Styela clava: one gene and its partner. The protein of the gene in region 1 interacts with the protein of each later gene in a biochemical or structural test. Links are inferred from orthologs where the notes say so. Each region holds a gene or a part of one and is shown in the gene's direction. Other genes may lie near its edges. The genes, in order: coatomer subunit beta-like and coatomer subunit delta-like.

Region 1 (8,008 bases):
ATATATATGATTACATCTTGTGAGACGTAAATACCTATTCATTATAATGTATTTGGTAACATTATGATAATGTTTAGTTTTACCATATGTTTTCGTTGAAATGATTATTGTCATAAATGCCATAAATAAGATCGGCAAAAAGTAATATTTGTGTCTCGAAAGTTTGGTGTGACAACTTCTGCGATTGGTTATTGAACTAATGAGCAATTTGGCTGTTATGAAGTTGGCCATTACACTAGTGGACAAGTCGCCAGGCACCGCTCATCTATCTTTTACTGGTGAATAAGGTTGTTTGCCAGAATATAGCGTTTGGTATCTCCCGTAATGTAAGATAATCGGGACAGTCGTGATCAGGCAACACTTCCAAAAACCAATTAGCATATTTCATTCTTACGGTCCATGTTACAGTCTCTAAAACGTTTCGCTGTGTTCAATCATTAGAATCGATATATATATAGCATTTTAATATTTCTGAAAAACTTTGGTTACAATGACTTGATGGTTAAAGTTACCATCACAGGGTAAAAGTCTCAGGTTCAAATAACATGACCATACCCTTACCTAGGATGTGATAAATTGGGTAGTCAACGTGTACCCTGGAAAGATCCCGGTCCCTTCAAACGATAGTAGCTTCTAGCAGTGACATTTATTCATAGCCTTGTTTTGATTGAAAGAAAGCCCCGTTTTGGCATAAGGAATAACTAATCAAAACATGAATATAAAAATTGAAGCATATTCTCGCGTTCTTGTTTTTCATTTGTTAAAGACACTAGGTATTTTAGACAGTGTGGCTATAATAAGTAATAAGAATGCGTTTTGTACTCTCCACGATATTCTGCACCTTAATTGCCCTTAGCTGTGCTTACGCCTTTTTGTTGATAAATTTGCCAAAGTTCGAATTAGAGGAAGGAGTAAATGACGAAGACGGCACGATGTCTTTTTCAAGGCGGCCTCCATTTATACGCGGAGCATTTACTCGGATGAATGGAAGGTGGGTGAATGTGCACAATATTGTAACAATATCTACTTCTTCATTTCCGTAGATTTATTATAACCCTGAGTATATGTCGTATATATCACCTTTCGTTAAATAAAATCTGAAATGCTGTTGGATAAAGCTTCTAAAGTAGCAACAAAACATTTTGTAATATTCTTGTGTTATATCACTTCGAGTTTTTTTCCTGTTAATAATCAAAATTGAATTCTTTTTTTAGAAGATGTGTGGCCATGCGAGCCGATATCCATTTACTTATAAATATTACGTTTTTATTCAAAATAACTTCGAAACATAGATTAATAATCATTTAAAACGTGTAGGATAGATTCCTTGCAATCGACTAGGTAAAAAAAAAATCGTGTTGTTGACTAGGTCTTATTTTAGGTGGAGGGCTTATTTAAAAAAAAATTAAATTCAAGCTAGGTCTTATTTTCAGGGTAGGTCTTATTTTCGGGGAAACACGGTAGAAGTGAATAACCATTATTTCAATACAAATATATCCTGTGGTTGAAAGTGGAAACTAAAATAGGCTACTAAAATATTTCTCTAACTTTGTTTATAAAATGGTCTGTATTCAATAAAGATATTATTTTATTCGGACTTCTTTTTCTCATATTTTTAAGGCGAACTCACGTCGTACCGTCGGATGGCTGGAAACGCAAAAAGAGAGAAATACAACACCAGGAAGGCGAGTTTGCTATTTATTTTATTACACATTGCACCTGTCATATCAAATATAAAATCTTGTTGAATAGTTTTGTCGAAATACTTGAAGGATTTTATGTTTTGCTTTCGATTGTATGTTTGTCTGTTATATAGAGCACTTAATTGCAAACATTAAAATAACGTTTTTTATTACTATTTTGTTTTACATATGCAGCCATAGACGAAGACATAGCACTTTTTGAGTGAAAGAAGAAGAAAGAAGAAATCTATTTTAAAATACTTTTTGTACAATAATAAATCTTTGCAATACGAAAAAAATCTCTTAAACGTTTCACATTTATGCGTTTTCTCTACGCAAGCGCTACTGACGAGGATGGTGTGGGAACCAAATCTAACTCAAGATGTAACAGATTTTAATCGCGACACCCCAAACAAGGATAATTACTTACAAGTCAAGTTTATTTTTTCCAACCAGAAAAAAAGTCAGTTTCACACAAAATATGAGGAAGATAGAAAATCACACATTTCATCTGGGGAAGGGAAGCCGAGAGGAACCAATGCTGGTTATCGAGCAGCGAGATCTAAATACAAAAAATACGCTTCGTTGGTTCGAAACACGTGCATTCAAGCTTGCTTAAAAGTCGGTTATATGAAACTGATACTATTGTGTTTGTTGTTTAACCGCGAGCGAGCCTAACTTCAAAAAATCGTCTGATTTTTGTGCAGATAGTGTGATATCCTATTTTTAATCTTGGTTTATTTTAGTTAACATTTCACAACTTACCAAGTTTATAAAAAACCAGAAATATAAAATTTCATTTTATTATTATTATTACTTGTCCCCACAAATTGTTTCTACGAAGATTCCCCACACAACAGAGGTTAAACTTGAGACACAGTGACGTAATGGGTAAAAAAAAATACTGAAAGAAGAGTCATATAAAAAAAATAAAAAAATTTATTTAGACCAAAAATCAGCAAAGCAGTCAAAAAATGTTTGATAAAAACAAAAATCACAAATTCTTGAAATTTCGGAATCATATTAAAATTAATTCCTGAGTATGGATTAGAAAATATGTCTAAATCACTGAAATTGGGGATCGGATTTCCCGGTATCCCATCCCCATTGCTTACTTAGGAATCGAATTCATATTACCGACACCAAAACAAATTGTATTTTTTCGGCCGTAGTTGTTATAAGAATATGAGCATCCATATTTCCACAAATCGGAGGTTTCAATACGAAAGTCAACTGTTGACATTTGGAAAACAAAATTATTCGAAAATATTGCAAAAATTGGTGTTTTTATGCTGGTAATTCAATAATTATTTGCACGCAGTATTCAAAAAGTATTCTAATAAAAATTTACAGGAGTTCAAAACCAATAATCTCCGTTTTTAACTTTTTTTTAAAACAGTCTCAAAATTTTTTTTTATCAAATCCTTCTAAATATAAATTTACGGTTATCCACTTCTTTGTCTCTTTCACTCGATGTCATAATTGAGTGTTTGTTTAATATATCCGACGCAGTCAAGCAAAAAATTCTCCCGAGACACGTCGCCGATAACAGCATTTTTTTGGTCGTAGCTGGTGTTTTCCGCCGCTAGTATTGTAATATGTGCCTGAAAGACGCAAAAATAGCAGCCTATTTGACGTTGCTGACGGTATTTTACTGTACATCGTATGCCCAAGATGCATGTTCTGATCTTTTACCAGGACAATACCGCTGTGCTGAACCTCAAATAGATGAGCATACTCAGGCTGTTGCCAACTGCACACCAGCTGGCAAGTCGAAGATTGACTGCTATCCTGTCAATGGTATAACATGTGATGGGAAATCGTTTAATGGAAGCCAAATTGGTTTCGAAAAACTAATAAACTGTACATATACTAATGGATATTCTTATACAACAGCACTTGGACTTTCAATTTTTCTTGGTTGGTTAGGGATAGATAGATTTTATTTAGGTTATCCAGCACTGGGATTATTGAAGTTTTGCACCTGTGGCATTTTTGGCTTAGGTGCATTTTTTGATTTTTTATTAATTGCATTGCAAGTTGTTCTTCCTGCCGATGGTTCAAATTATGTCATTGATCTCTATGGACCCCGATTGCGGGAAATTTCTATAAATGCTGAAACTTATTTTAAACCACAACTTGAATGATAATTTTAGACTGTTTTTGTATACTATATCCAGATATATGTATACTCTTATTTAACACTGTGCTATTTCTATTGATCTTATTAGAAGCAATAATCCAGTATGACCCAATTTGTCAAAATTATTAAGTGTAACTAGTCAGAATATATCATTCTGAAGTTATTCTCCTGTATTTGACTGCATACTAATATGTTTTCTGTGGTTCCGCTGAGCTAATAATATACCAATTTAAACTGGCCCTGATTTGGTTTTCTCAATTTTCAGTGCTCAAAATGTCATTCACTTGACTGAGTTGAACTGTATTATTTTTTTATTTGAGCCTGAAAAAAAATTCTTCAGATATTTAGTTTTTCAGTAATCTTTTGTCATTTTTCACTCATTTTGCAACTTTTTTTTGTATTGCTGTGTGGATATATGAAAAATCCGTTGTTATCTGTTTCATTTTTCAAACCAACAATAGTCTTTATATGTAATAGTAGTTTTGTTTTTTTTTAAGGGACATTCATAGTATGTTTCTATTTGAATGGAAAACTGCCTGTCATAATATGTTATTTAGAATGCAAATTTTTCTGATAGGATTATACCATTGCCATTCCATGCATTCTATTTCATATCTCAGATGATGAATATGGATGAATTTTGGAAAAATTATTGTTTTTATTTAATTTTTTCTGTGTTGTGCAGTATACTATTTTACCCGACTCAAAAGCAAAGCCTCAAGCGACCATTGAGAACTTTAGGAGTGTTAGTAAATTATCTATGAACCTAATTTGGTAAAGATATGTTAGTCTTGCCATATTAACTTAACAAAACTGCTCTTGGTGAATGAGAGAGCAACAATTGCGCAATTTTTATTGTGAAGCTGTAAATGTCTCACTTTACAAGCTACGATCTGCTATATAACATAACTTTCTTTTCAATGCAAGCTTTAAAATAGTATACCCCCTATTACTCCTGTTTTTTAATTTTTTTTATCATGTTTCTAAAATGCAATGTATTATTTTGTTCAAATATTTTTTGTTTTATTTGATAGATATTTAGATGTGCTAGTGCTTGACTTACAGAATGACATCAGCAGAAAGCATTTGTCACACTCTAATCAATGTACCGTCTGTTACTGATTCGGAGCCATCTAATGAATCACAATTAAAAGCAGATATCGAACATGGCGATATTCGTACTAAAACAGACGCTTTGAAACGCGTCATATTAATGACATTGAATGGAGAAAAACTTCATGGTATGATTTTTTTTGGTATTCAAATAAAATAGTTTATGATTATAATATGTCACATTCTTTTTCAACATATTTTGGGTTATTCATGAGTAATATAATAGTGCATACCAAAATATAAAAATTTAATAATATTGAACAAATATTTCAAAATAATTGGATCCATAGTATTAATCTTCAGTGCTGAGCAGAAACTGAAGTCATACAATTTTTTAAATTGTGAATAGATTTTATCGATACCATATAATATATATATTATAGTTCGTTTGCCTCTACGGGTTTATATGAGGTAAAAAATGGAAACCGATTAAAATAAAACAAGCCTGGTTAGGATAGATTGAGAATTGACTTCATTACGAAATTAAAATTGTAACAGGACTTTATGAATACCTTGTGTATATAGCATAGCGTAATATGTATCGTATGTCTTTCTTCGGAAGATAAAGAAATTGGTTGAAACCGTACATTTGAACCCACGGCAATTGCACCTGCTTACTATCATATCTAAGGATTTTTTATTGTTACACGGATATTTGAACCCATACTAACACTAACCCATGGGTTTTAGCCCTCACATATATATTGAACCAGCGGATATACACATGGGTTCAAATGTACGGTCACCAAAGAAATTCAAGTTATATAAGTAAGGAGATAAGCCACATCAAAATTTAAAATTTTTTGACTGTATTATAGAATAAATTATTTTGTGATAATTTGATCTGGGATATTCATTTACAGTCTGATTTGAATCCAACTGTATTTTTATACAGTATAATGAATATGTCTTTTGAATAGCTTGGAATGAAGTTACATTTTTGTGATTCGATTCAATGCAATTGATTTAAATTATTGCATTCTTTATTACAAGGATTATTGATGACAATCATCAAATACTTGTTGCCTTCTGAAGATCATACTATCAAGAAATTATTGTTGATATTTTGGGAAATATGGCCCAAGACGGACAACGATGGAAAATTGAGGCCTGAGATGATTCTAGTTTGTGATGCTTATAGAAAGGTGGGCTGCTTGATCATTCATGAATTCTATTAAAATTACGCTGAATAAGCATTTAATATGGAGGATTCCCAATATTTTACTAGATAATTGATACATTCGGTTATAAATTGGAAGCCAAATTAAAGCTTGATTGATCAAATTTCAAGTCAAGTTTATGGGTGTAAGTGTAACGGCCTAGTGGTGGCAGCGTTGGGCTTAAACATGTTGGTTATATTAATGAAATCTTGAGTTTTAATCCTATGCCCAGCAACTGACCTAATGTATAATATATTGGATAGATAAGGCCAACTGGACAGATTTCAGTCCTTCTAAAATATAGTGCAATGGCTGCTTGTTTGGAGTGGAAGATGTTTAAAATGTTGCATGGAAAAGTAATATGTAGTCAACTATCAATATCTTAGCATTGGTAATGTGTACTATGCCATTAATATCTTAGCATCGATAATGTCTACGAGACACGGCGACACTGTTTCATTGTTTTTTATCTGTTTGAATGATAAATCCCTATGTTGAAAATTGACTATTAAATTGTTTTAAAATTTATCTTTGTTTTGTTATGTATGACATTTTGATTAAATACAGTTCTGGATTACAGTTCTTGAAGGTTGTCTTTTATTGCAGGATTTGCAACATCCCAATGAGTTCATTCGAGGTTCTACACTTCGTTTCTTGTGTAAACTTCGTCAGGCAGAACTGCTTGAACCACTAATGCCTGCTATTCGTGCCTGTCTTGAACACAGACATAGCTATGTAAGAAGAAATGCAGTTCTTGCCATTTATACTATATTCAGGTAAGTATTCCAAAACACAACCACTATCTGAAATATGAACAACCCTTATAAGGAATGCAATTATTTCAGTCACACTAGGGCAGCATTTCTCAACCCAACAGGCAGAAAAAACAGAACGATTACTATTCTTTGTATGCAGTTTTGCTTATATTATTTGGTTATTCAGTTAATATTCGATATATATATATATATTGGATGCTTTGAAGTTCAAACAAACAACAGAAACAGTTTTCCGCATAGTGAGGGAGTAATAAGGGGATCTAAAAATAGACAAAGGCAGGAATATATTGAGAAAAATTGTAGACCACTGCAGTTAGGGATTTTGCTTTTCATGTGATTTTGACAACAGTCTCTCTTCTCCACATCTGTTTACAGACATTATTTATCTTCCAGGAAATTTGAAAATTTGATTCCTGATGCTCCAGAACTTATTCATGAGTTTCTGGAAGGAGAAAAAGATGCTTCGTGTAAACGAAACGCATTCATGATGTTGATTCATGCTGATCAAGAACGAGCTTTGGATTACTTGAGCACTTGTATTGACCAAGTAAGAGTTTTGTATTTAGTATGACACACATTGCCTGTTATTATTGTGTATATCTCAGTTTCAGTTTTTACTTATATATTTTAGTGCAATGTGTTTGTCGCATGCTTGTATCAGAGTTATCCAAAAGAATGGTTAGTGTACTTCCAAACATATTCATTTTCAATATTGTAATTTATTGAATTTAGAAATGATTTCTTTGAAAATGTGGGCATTTCAAGAATTTGCCTCTTAGGCAAGTTCATGATCCAAAACTTGTTTTATTCAACTTTTCCGAATAACAAAACTTGAAACTTTATTATTATGCAATGACCTCAGGCGTATTCTCTATAAAATATATCACATTTCATGATATAGAATGCTAATATTGCTTAGTGGTGTTGGAGTCTCCAATCTCTATTTAGAATAGTGAATTATTTGTTACCGGCTAATCGGCTATCCCTGGCATATATTTCATGATTTTGCAAACTGGTATTTCTGTTATGAACTTTATTGTGAATCTTGCTGTAGTAGTTTTCTAAACAGGTAAATTCCTCTTTTTTTGATTACCATTATATCGCTATGACTCAATTTAATTATGTAGGTTCAAA
Region 2 (7,429 bases), on another chromosome or scaffold:
GTAGATCATAATTTAACGCTCAAGATCGTACTGAAGTGAATTTTCTTTTTGCTTGGCAGAAAATTATTATTGACACAAAATCAGTACCCTATATATAAACTGATTATCAAATCATAGATTTCCTCACAGGCAAACAGAGCAAAGACGAGCTGCTTAGTTGGTTTACAACTTTACGGAGAGGCAAACTGACAGCTACGAAAACATGATTAATCCACTTAAACATGATTGCACAATACTGCTAACAAATAGCCACTCTGTTCCAACTTGTATTTCAATGTTTATATGATAGGACAATTACAAATATATAATATACGTGAAATATTAAAACCAGTTAGGTATATAAAACACAGTGATGTTACTTACAAGTGAACAGTTGAGAGATTTTTAAGAGGACGATTATATATACCCGGTGCAAATTCAAGTGCATACCATTGATTAATGAACTACATTTGGTAAGTGACAGGGTTACAGTAAATCTAATGTTTTAAATTGTGTCTATTTCGAACCTTCATGAAATAAAAAAATACACAAAAAATACGAAAGAAGGATATAATAAAACACAATTTGCCATGCAAATGATGTACCACTGTGCTTATTCTGAGCTGAGCGGAAAACTGTACTAGATTATTGAGTTGCAGAATACCGACAAAAGCAAAACATAATTATGCTATGAAAATAGACCATGATCAAGAAAAAACACCCAGAACATTTCAAATGTTTTAAAATATACTGATTAACTTTCACATGAAGTGGTGCAACGATTCAAAACTCAAATATATATGTAAGAAGTCTTGGGTACAAGCGGTCAAAAAAGTCTAATTACACAGCTGTGACAAAGGCTAATGGTAAAATGGTCTAATAGTTTAATAATAAGGTTGTGGGAAAGGAAAACATAGCCTTTTAATATTGTTACAAAATTACAGTGTGAAATTCTTAACCACGATCTCTGAAAGTTTTAACGACAACACACAAAAACATTATTCACAAAATGTTCCATTATCTTTCATTCCATATATCGTTCCATTGCCTTTGGGAGAAGGACTTTCATTTCCCTGCAAATTTCGACTTCCTTTTGTACTGTTACCTCACATTCCGGTTTACGATCAACATAGTCAACTATCCATGAATAATATTCCAAGGACTTTTTCAAGAAATTTAATTTTTCAGATCTTACAGGAGCAATTATTTTTGAATACAGTCTAGCGACGTGAAAATGTGCAATAATCGCAGGATGTTCAACATCTTCATCAAATGGAAAAGGAAATACTTTTTTAGTATTTCGTAGTGTGTCAAGAAATTTAGTGAAATATAATATACTGGACCTACACAATAGGTTTATCTTCTTGATAGCGTGGTGTGTTGGAGTCTGAGTCGACTCATTAGCAATTGCAATTTTTAAATCTAACATCGCACCATATATTTCCCCAATTTCAAACTGAAGTTGTCTGCATATTAAAAGAAAAAATTGAGGATTTATCTCATTCAAAACTTGAGTAAGAAGGTCTATCCGTCTTTTATGCATCTTGCATTTTCTCTCTTTCTCTGTCTCAAAGAAAATCAAGTGTTTATACAGAGCACTCATGTCTTGCGTCAGCTCAATATTATCTGTGACAAAACCATCCATAACAAAGAATTCAAGAGCAGAATCAACATATTTTTTCGCTATTAGGAACACTTGTCGACTTTCTTCAAAAGTGGTGACTGGTAAATGTCTCGCATTCTCTTCTACAGAATCAACTTCAAGAGGCATTCTGTCATGATCTTTGGGTACATCATTGTCATTTTCCTCATTTAATTGTAGTCGTAGTATAGCTTCTGCTTGTCTATTAACATCAAGTTCACACACATCATTATATAAGAGTTCCTTTGAGTAATCCAGAAGAGCGAGAAAGTACTTCACCCAACAACGAGCGATATCTGCTTTCTTCTGTGGTATTTCATTTCTCAGCATGATCGTCTCATTATCATCATCAGGTTTCGGCTCAGGTAGACCTTCCTGAGGTTTTGCTTCTTCCATAATGACATTGGCACAAGCCAAACAATGTTTTGCTTCACGATACATATTTTGACAAATGTAATATTGTGATAGGCCAGCAGAATTCACAGCCCATTCTTTTGGATCATACTCTTTTGATTCCAGTTGACGTCGTAAAGTTCTTTGACAATATGCAGCAGATAGATCATTTTCATCACTTTGTTTGTACATCTGTGCCAAGTAAAACAATGTATGAGTGAAAATCTTTTCAAATTTTGCATCACGTTGCATGTCAGTGAATTTCTCTTCCTTTGGACGCAAACTTTCATCAATAGCGAAAGGAGAAAGACCCACTTCATGCTTATATTTATTATAAAGACTTTCAACTTTTTTAAGGTTGAACATTGCCTCGTCTCGGCCTTGATAACGGCTAGCCCATACTATTCCAAGTTCAGAATATGCAATCATGGCAATGCTAACAGCCTCTGGTCTCATTAAAAGTTCATCGTCTTTCAGAAGAGCAATACACTTATCAAGACATTCTTCTCCAGCAGGTCTTTCCTCAGTGTGAGTGTAATTAAATCCTAGCTGATATTGTATCGCAGCTTCTAAAATTTTCATGGATGGGTCAGATTCATTTTCTTCTCGTTCTTTATGTATTCTATTCAATATTTCTTGCAGCTTTTCTCTTGCTTTGTATTTTGACTTGAAAGGATCATTTTCTGGATCTTTTAAACTTTCTTCATCAGTTAAAACTCGTACACTGTTATATGCATCGTATCCCTCCGACTCAAAATATTCAAGAAGTGTCTGGGGTAAACTGAATTCAAAATTCATATCCAACTTCCTTATATATCTGTATATTAAATAAATCTGAAATATAGTACTAATTCTTCTGTTAAAAAAAATGTATTTTAATGAGTAGGCCTATAGGCACAACGACTTTTGAATGGTTTGCTCTGCAGCATTTTCGCCACTTAACTAAGAAGAAAGTAGAAAAAAAAGATCAATATTCTCAGATTCTGGAAACAATGGGACCAGTGAATGTTTACAAAATGTACTATTACTGGGGTCTTGTGTAGTTTCGTACTTCAAGTACTTCTAGTGGGCGTAGCATAACGATTTTCGCATATGTCAATCCTAATCCCCATCTGACTATGGCATCCAGAAATTATGTCACTACGACATCACAATCACTTCCTTAATAGAGCTTGTCAGAGTATAGGGGGATCACCCACAATGGCATCTGCGCCGCCGCCAGTCATATCGGGATCGTTGCAACGCAAAAACAAGAGAAATAGCTTGCTAGATTTTAGGTGACTGTCTGTGTGCTTGAATGACAGTTTGTACAGTTTGAAGGGCCTTGTTATGTCACTTTGACGTAATTTTCGAATGACGCAGCGAAGTGTTGGTTAGGATTGACAAATGCAAAAACTGTAAAACTACGCCCACTAGAAGCATGCTACTTACGGTAGCTATATTTGACAACGAAGAAAGACTGAATTGTAATCTAATAAACGCTTTCGCAAAAAATTAGGAACCTGGCTACCTTAGATTCATTTTTCGCTTACTTAATCTTTTTTTAAACAATATTTTCTCGTCCAATTTATTGTATTTATTTAGTTTAAAGATTTTTCATCTGATTCCGTGGTAAAATTATATTTTAATCAGCCTTTTCAATTTTTATATATAGCTATAAGTGAATCATATATGCGCTTGGAAATTATATTCAATGTGTAAAAATATTCTGGTTGAAATTGCTGCTAGCTCCACAGTGGTGACGGAAGGTTCGAATCACAACTATGGTCATACATAGGCTTACCATACGTCACGGTTTAGCCAGGACAGTCCCGGTTTTAGCCTGTTTTTCCGCCGTCCCGACATATAATATAAAAATTCACAACATGAAATTCTCTCACATCCAATTATTAAAATGAATTAAGAACACTGAAGTGCATAATGAAATTTATTTAGGTTTTATCTTCAGAATTACCCAGTTCATTCACTACAGAAAAGCATATCTACCTATTTAAAATATGCACAAAGGGGCCATGAATAATTGTTCATTTATTTATCACTATTACGAGACGAATAAACATACATACATAAAAAAAAATTGGGAAAACAAGATCACACTTGAATAAATATAAAAAATACGACAATACGATGCATACCGGTACTATTTGCCGAAATTCCGGTACTCAAAATATACTTATATTTACCGTAGGCTATATTATACTGCATCGTATTCATCTCAACGAACTCGCGGAGTGAAGACTGAAGTAAATGGGTAATAAGAATTTTTATTACTCTAGCGCGACATCTCGCGGGGATGATAAATCGAATTTATCGAACATCGCAGTAGTCTCCATTCAGCCGTTTTCGTACTTATGCCTAGCACTGACGTGGCTGCCTGTTGAACAAGGTTTCTGCATTGGCATACTGGCTATCGGTGTCGTTTTTGTTTCACATTTCTGAGGTTTGGAAATCTATAAATTACAATATGGTAAGTGATTATTATGGAATATGAATCTATGATATGACCACCAGTTTTGGATTCAAATTATGGTCCGATCTAACTTAACCTGACTCCATATAACGTTACAGATATAGGCTAACGCAATCTGGCAATGTTCAATTGTTAATTAGTTGCTGTTACTGTGTTGAGATGGATTGCTTATATTTTTTTTTCAAAACAGTGTTAAGACTTAACTCCATGGCTATTATCTCATTCAGTCCTTCAAATTAATATAAAATCTTATTTCTATATATCAACTCCATTCTTCCGAAAACAAATACCTGGTTAACTAATCCCATACCCGACCTGGTAACCGAACGAGAGGCGGGTCTAGTATAGTTTAGTACCACAGGTACTTCCAGTGGGCGTAGCATAACGAATTTTGCATATGGTATTCCTAACCCCCACCTGACTATGCCATCCAAAAATTACGTCACTAGGATGTCACCATCACGTGATATGGCTTGCCAAAGTATAATTACAATCGCCCGAAATGGCATCTGCGCCGCCGATAATGAACTCGCTAACGCCGACGATCTCTCTCTTATGGTGATCGTTGTGAGGCAAAAACGAGAGAACTAGCTTGCCCGATTTCGGGTGATCGTCCGAGTGTTTTGGACGACCATCTCCATACTTTGGTGGGTCTCATTACGCCACTGTGACGTCCAAATGACGTAATTTTTTGGTGACGTAGTCAGGTGGGGGTTAGGATTAACGTATGCAAAAATTGTCGAGCCAGGCCATCTAGAAGTGCATGTGGTACTAAACTATACCAGACCCCGAGAGGCCGTGGTTGGCCATATGATTAAGTCGTCTTATCGGTTTTCCTCTCCCCCGGGATAAATATGTAAATCCTATCCTATATTCAACGTAGGCCTAAGGTCATACTGCCATAAAAATTATGTGTTTTCACTTTTTTTCCACTAACTGACCGAACTAAACTATATATAGATGCTCCTCATTTCAGAGACAGAGTATTTATTTAAATGAACCAATTACGTTGGAACATCTTTGAATCGGAGAACTAGGCCCTACTGAATGTACAAAGTTTACTATCTGACTATAACGTTGAGTCATGGATTGAATTATTTCAATTTTTTAGGTGCTGTTGGCAGCGGCGGTAATGACCAAAAATGGTCGAGCCATCATATCTCGGCAATTTGTAGAAATGACTCGATCAAGAATTGAAGGTCTTCTTGCGGCATTTCCTAAATTAATGAATACAGGTAGAACTTCAGTATTTACCTATTTTATTGATGCCTTATCACAGTGTCTAGTTCTATGATTCAATAAAGCATTTTCAACAACCAAAAAAATCATGATAATATTCTGTCATGTAACAATGTAAACATGCATGTGCATTCATCATATCTTGGGTCAAAAGCCTATTGATTTTGGATGATTTATGTCATATAATTAGCGAGTTATTAATTAATTAGTGATGGGACACGCGGTGTCACTATAGAGTATAAGTCTTTGGTCTCCGACCGATTCCTTGTTTATTCAATTACTAGTTCATTATGGCTTCTAATAACTGGCTAGCTGTTCCCAACTGGCACTGGACGAGAGGCGAAGGTTTGCCATATGATTGCATTGTCTCGTCGACTTTTCTCCTCCCAGGATATAATATGAAAATCTTACTTTTATCTACTTTCGAGGATAGAAATTTATCAATTTATCAATTTCTTCAGGCAAACAACACACATTTGTCGAAACAGAATCAGTGAGATATGTCTATCAACCTCTGGAGAAAATGTATATGTTGCTGATCACTACAAAGAATAGTAATATTTTAGAAGATCTGGAAACACTAAGATTGTTCTCAAGATTGGTATGTAAAGTTTGAGGTAGATTCTAATATCGGAAAGGATAGAACTTCTGCAAGCTCATTTCTAACACCAACACATAATGACAAATTTTTTTAAATCTATTCTATTTAGATTATATGTACAAAATACCTTTCATGTTTTCGTTAATTTCAATTTTACTTGTATCCTTGAAATTCAATTTGAAAATTATAGAGAAAATGAATTGAAATCAAGCCCCAAATTTATTTGTTTATTAGAGTCTGTGATCGTTAGTTGTGATCATACTTTACTCAACATCATGCTGAAATCATGTTTTCTAAAGATTTTATGCTTTGTTTTCACACCCTTTTTCCTTGTCTTAATTGGATTATTATAAATTGAATCATAATTAATAATTGTTATTCAAGATTCCAGAGTATTGTCGAATCCTGGATGAAAATGATGTTCAAGAACATGCTTTTGAATTGATCTTTGCATTTGATGAAGTTGTAGCTCTAGGATATCGTGAAAGTGTCAATCTTGCACAGATTCGAACATTTACTGAGATGGATTCTCATGAAGAGAAAGTGTTCAGGGCAGTTCGTAAGGTAAGATAAGCTGACTTGAACAAAAATCATTTATTTTTTGTGAATGTTGGTCTTGGCGAATGGTAAGTCAAGTTTCCACCACATTCGTTTTTTAAATTTAAATTTTATGTTCTGGTTAATAGTAATTTTGAGATACCAGCGTCTACTGAAATATTACGATGGCTATCTATTTCAGTTTGATATAAGGCAGTGGTTCTTAAACTGGGTTCAATCGAACCCCAGGGGTTCGATGAGTCAGTATCAGGGGTTCAGCGGAGAGGAAACACCTTTGTTATAGAATCCCCGGCCAAACGTTATCTGATTGTGCAATCGGCGCTGTTTTTAAAAAAGTGTCTGTTTTGTCTTTGTAAGTAATTTCGTTGTGTAAGCGTAGTTTTCTTTTGTTCAGAGTTAGTTGTGAAGTATTACTTGATTAAAGCCTTATTAGGTTTTTAATGAGTCTGCATATTAAGTGAGTCTACTACAACAATGATCAGCATTGTTTTATTTGAAAACATTATTTTGTAGGGTTATAGGGTAATTCTAGCTTAGCACCGGCAAA

Evidence for each region.
Region 2: the proteins of coatomer subunit beta-like (region 1) and coatomer subunit delta-like form a complex in vitro, tested with the Homo sapiens proteins (2 studies listed by BioGRID). The link is inferred for Styela clava from reciprocal best matches to the Homo sapiens genes COPB1 and ARCN1.

What each region holds. Positions count from the first base shown.
Region 1 is NC_135255.1:10,256,527-10,264,534, forward strand, and holds the start of coatomer subunit beta-like, read left to right. Parts: upstream 1-4,891; coding exon 4,892-5,066; intron 5,067-5,931; coding exon 5,932-6,083; intron 6,084-6,704; coding exon 6,705-6,874; intron 6,875-7,267; coding exon 7,268-7,421; intron 7,422-8,008. Other genes in the region: TM2 domain-containing protein 1-like, read left to right, coding at 3,281-3,829. UniProt on the Homo sapiens protein: The coatomer is a cytosolic protein complex that binds to dilysine motifs and reversibly associates with Golgi non-clathrin-coated vesicles, which further mediate biosynthetic protein transport from the ER, via the Golgi up to the trans Golgi network.
Region 2 is NC_135253.1:7,646,583-7,654,011, forward strand, and holds the start of coatomer subunit delta-like, read left to right. Parts: upstream 1-4,334; 5' UTR 4,335-4,478; coding exon 4,479-4,481; intron 4,482-5,595; coding exon 5,596-5,719; intron 5,720-6,184; coding exon 6,185-6,324; intron 6,325-6,708; coding exon 6,709-6,888; intron 6,889-7,429. Other genes in the region: KIF-binding protein-like, read right to left, coding at 1,004-2,812. UniProt on the Homo sapiens protein: Component of the coatomer, a cytosolic protein complex that binds to dilysine motifs and reversibly associates with Golgi non-clathrin-coated vesicles, which further mediate biosynthetic protein transport from the ER, via the Golgi up to the trans Golgi network.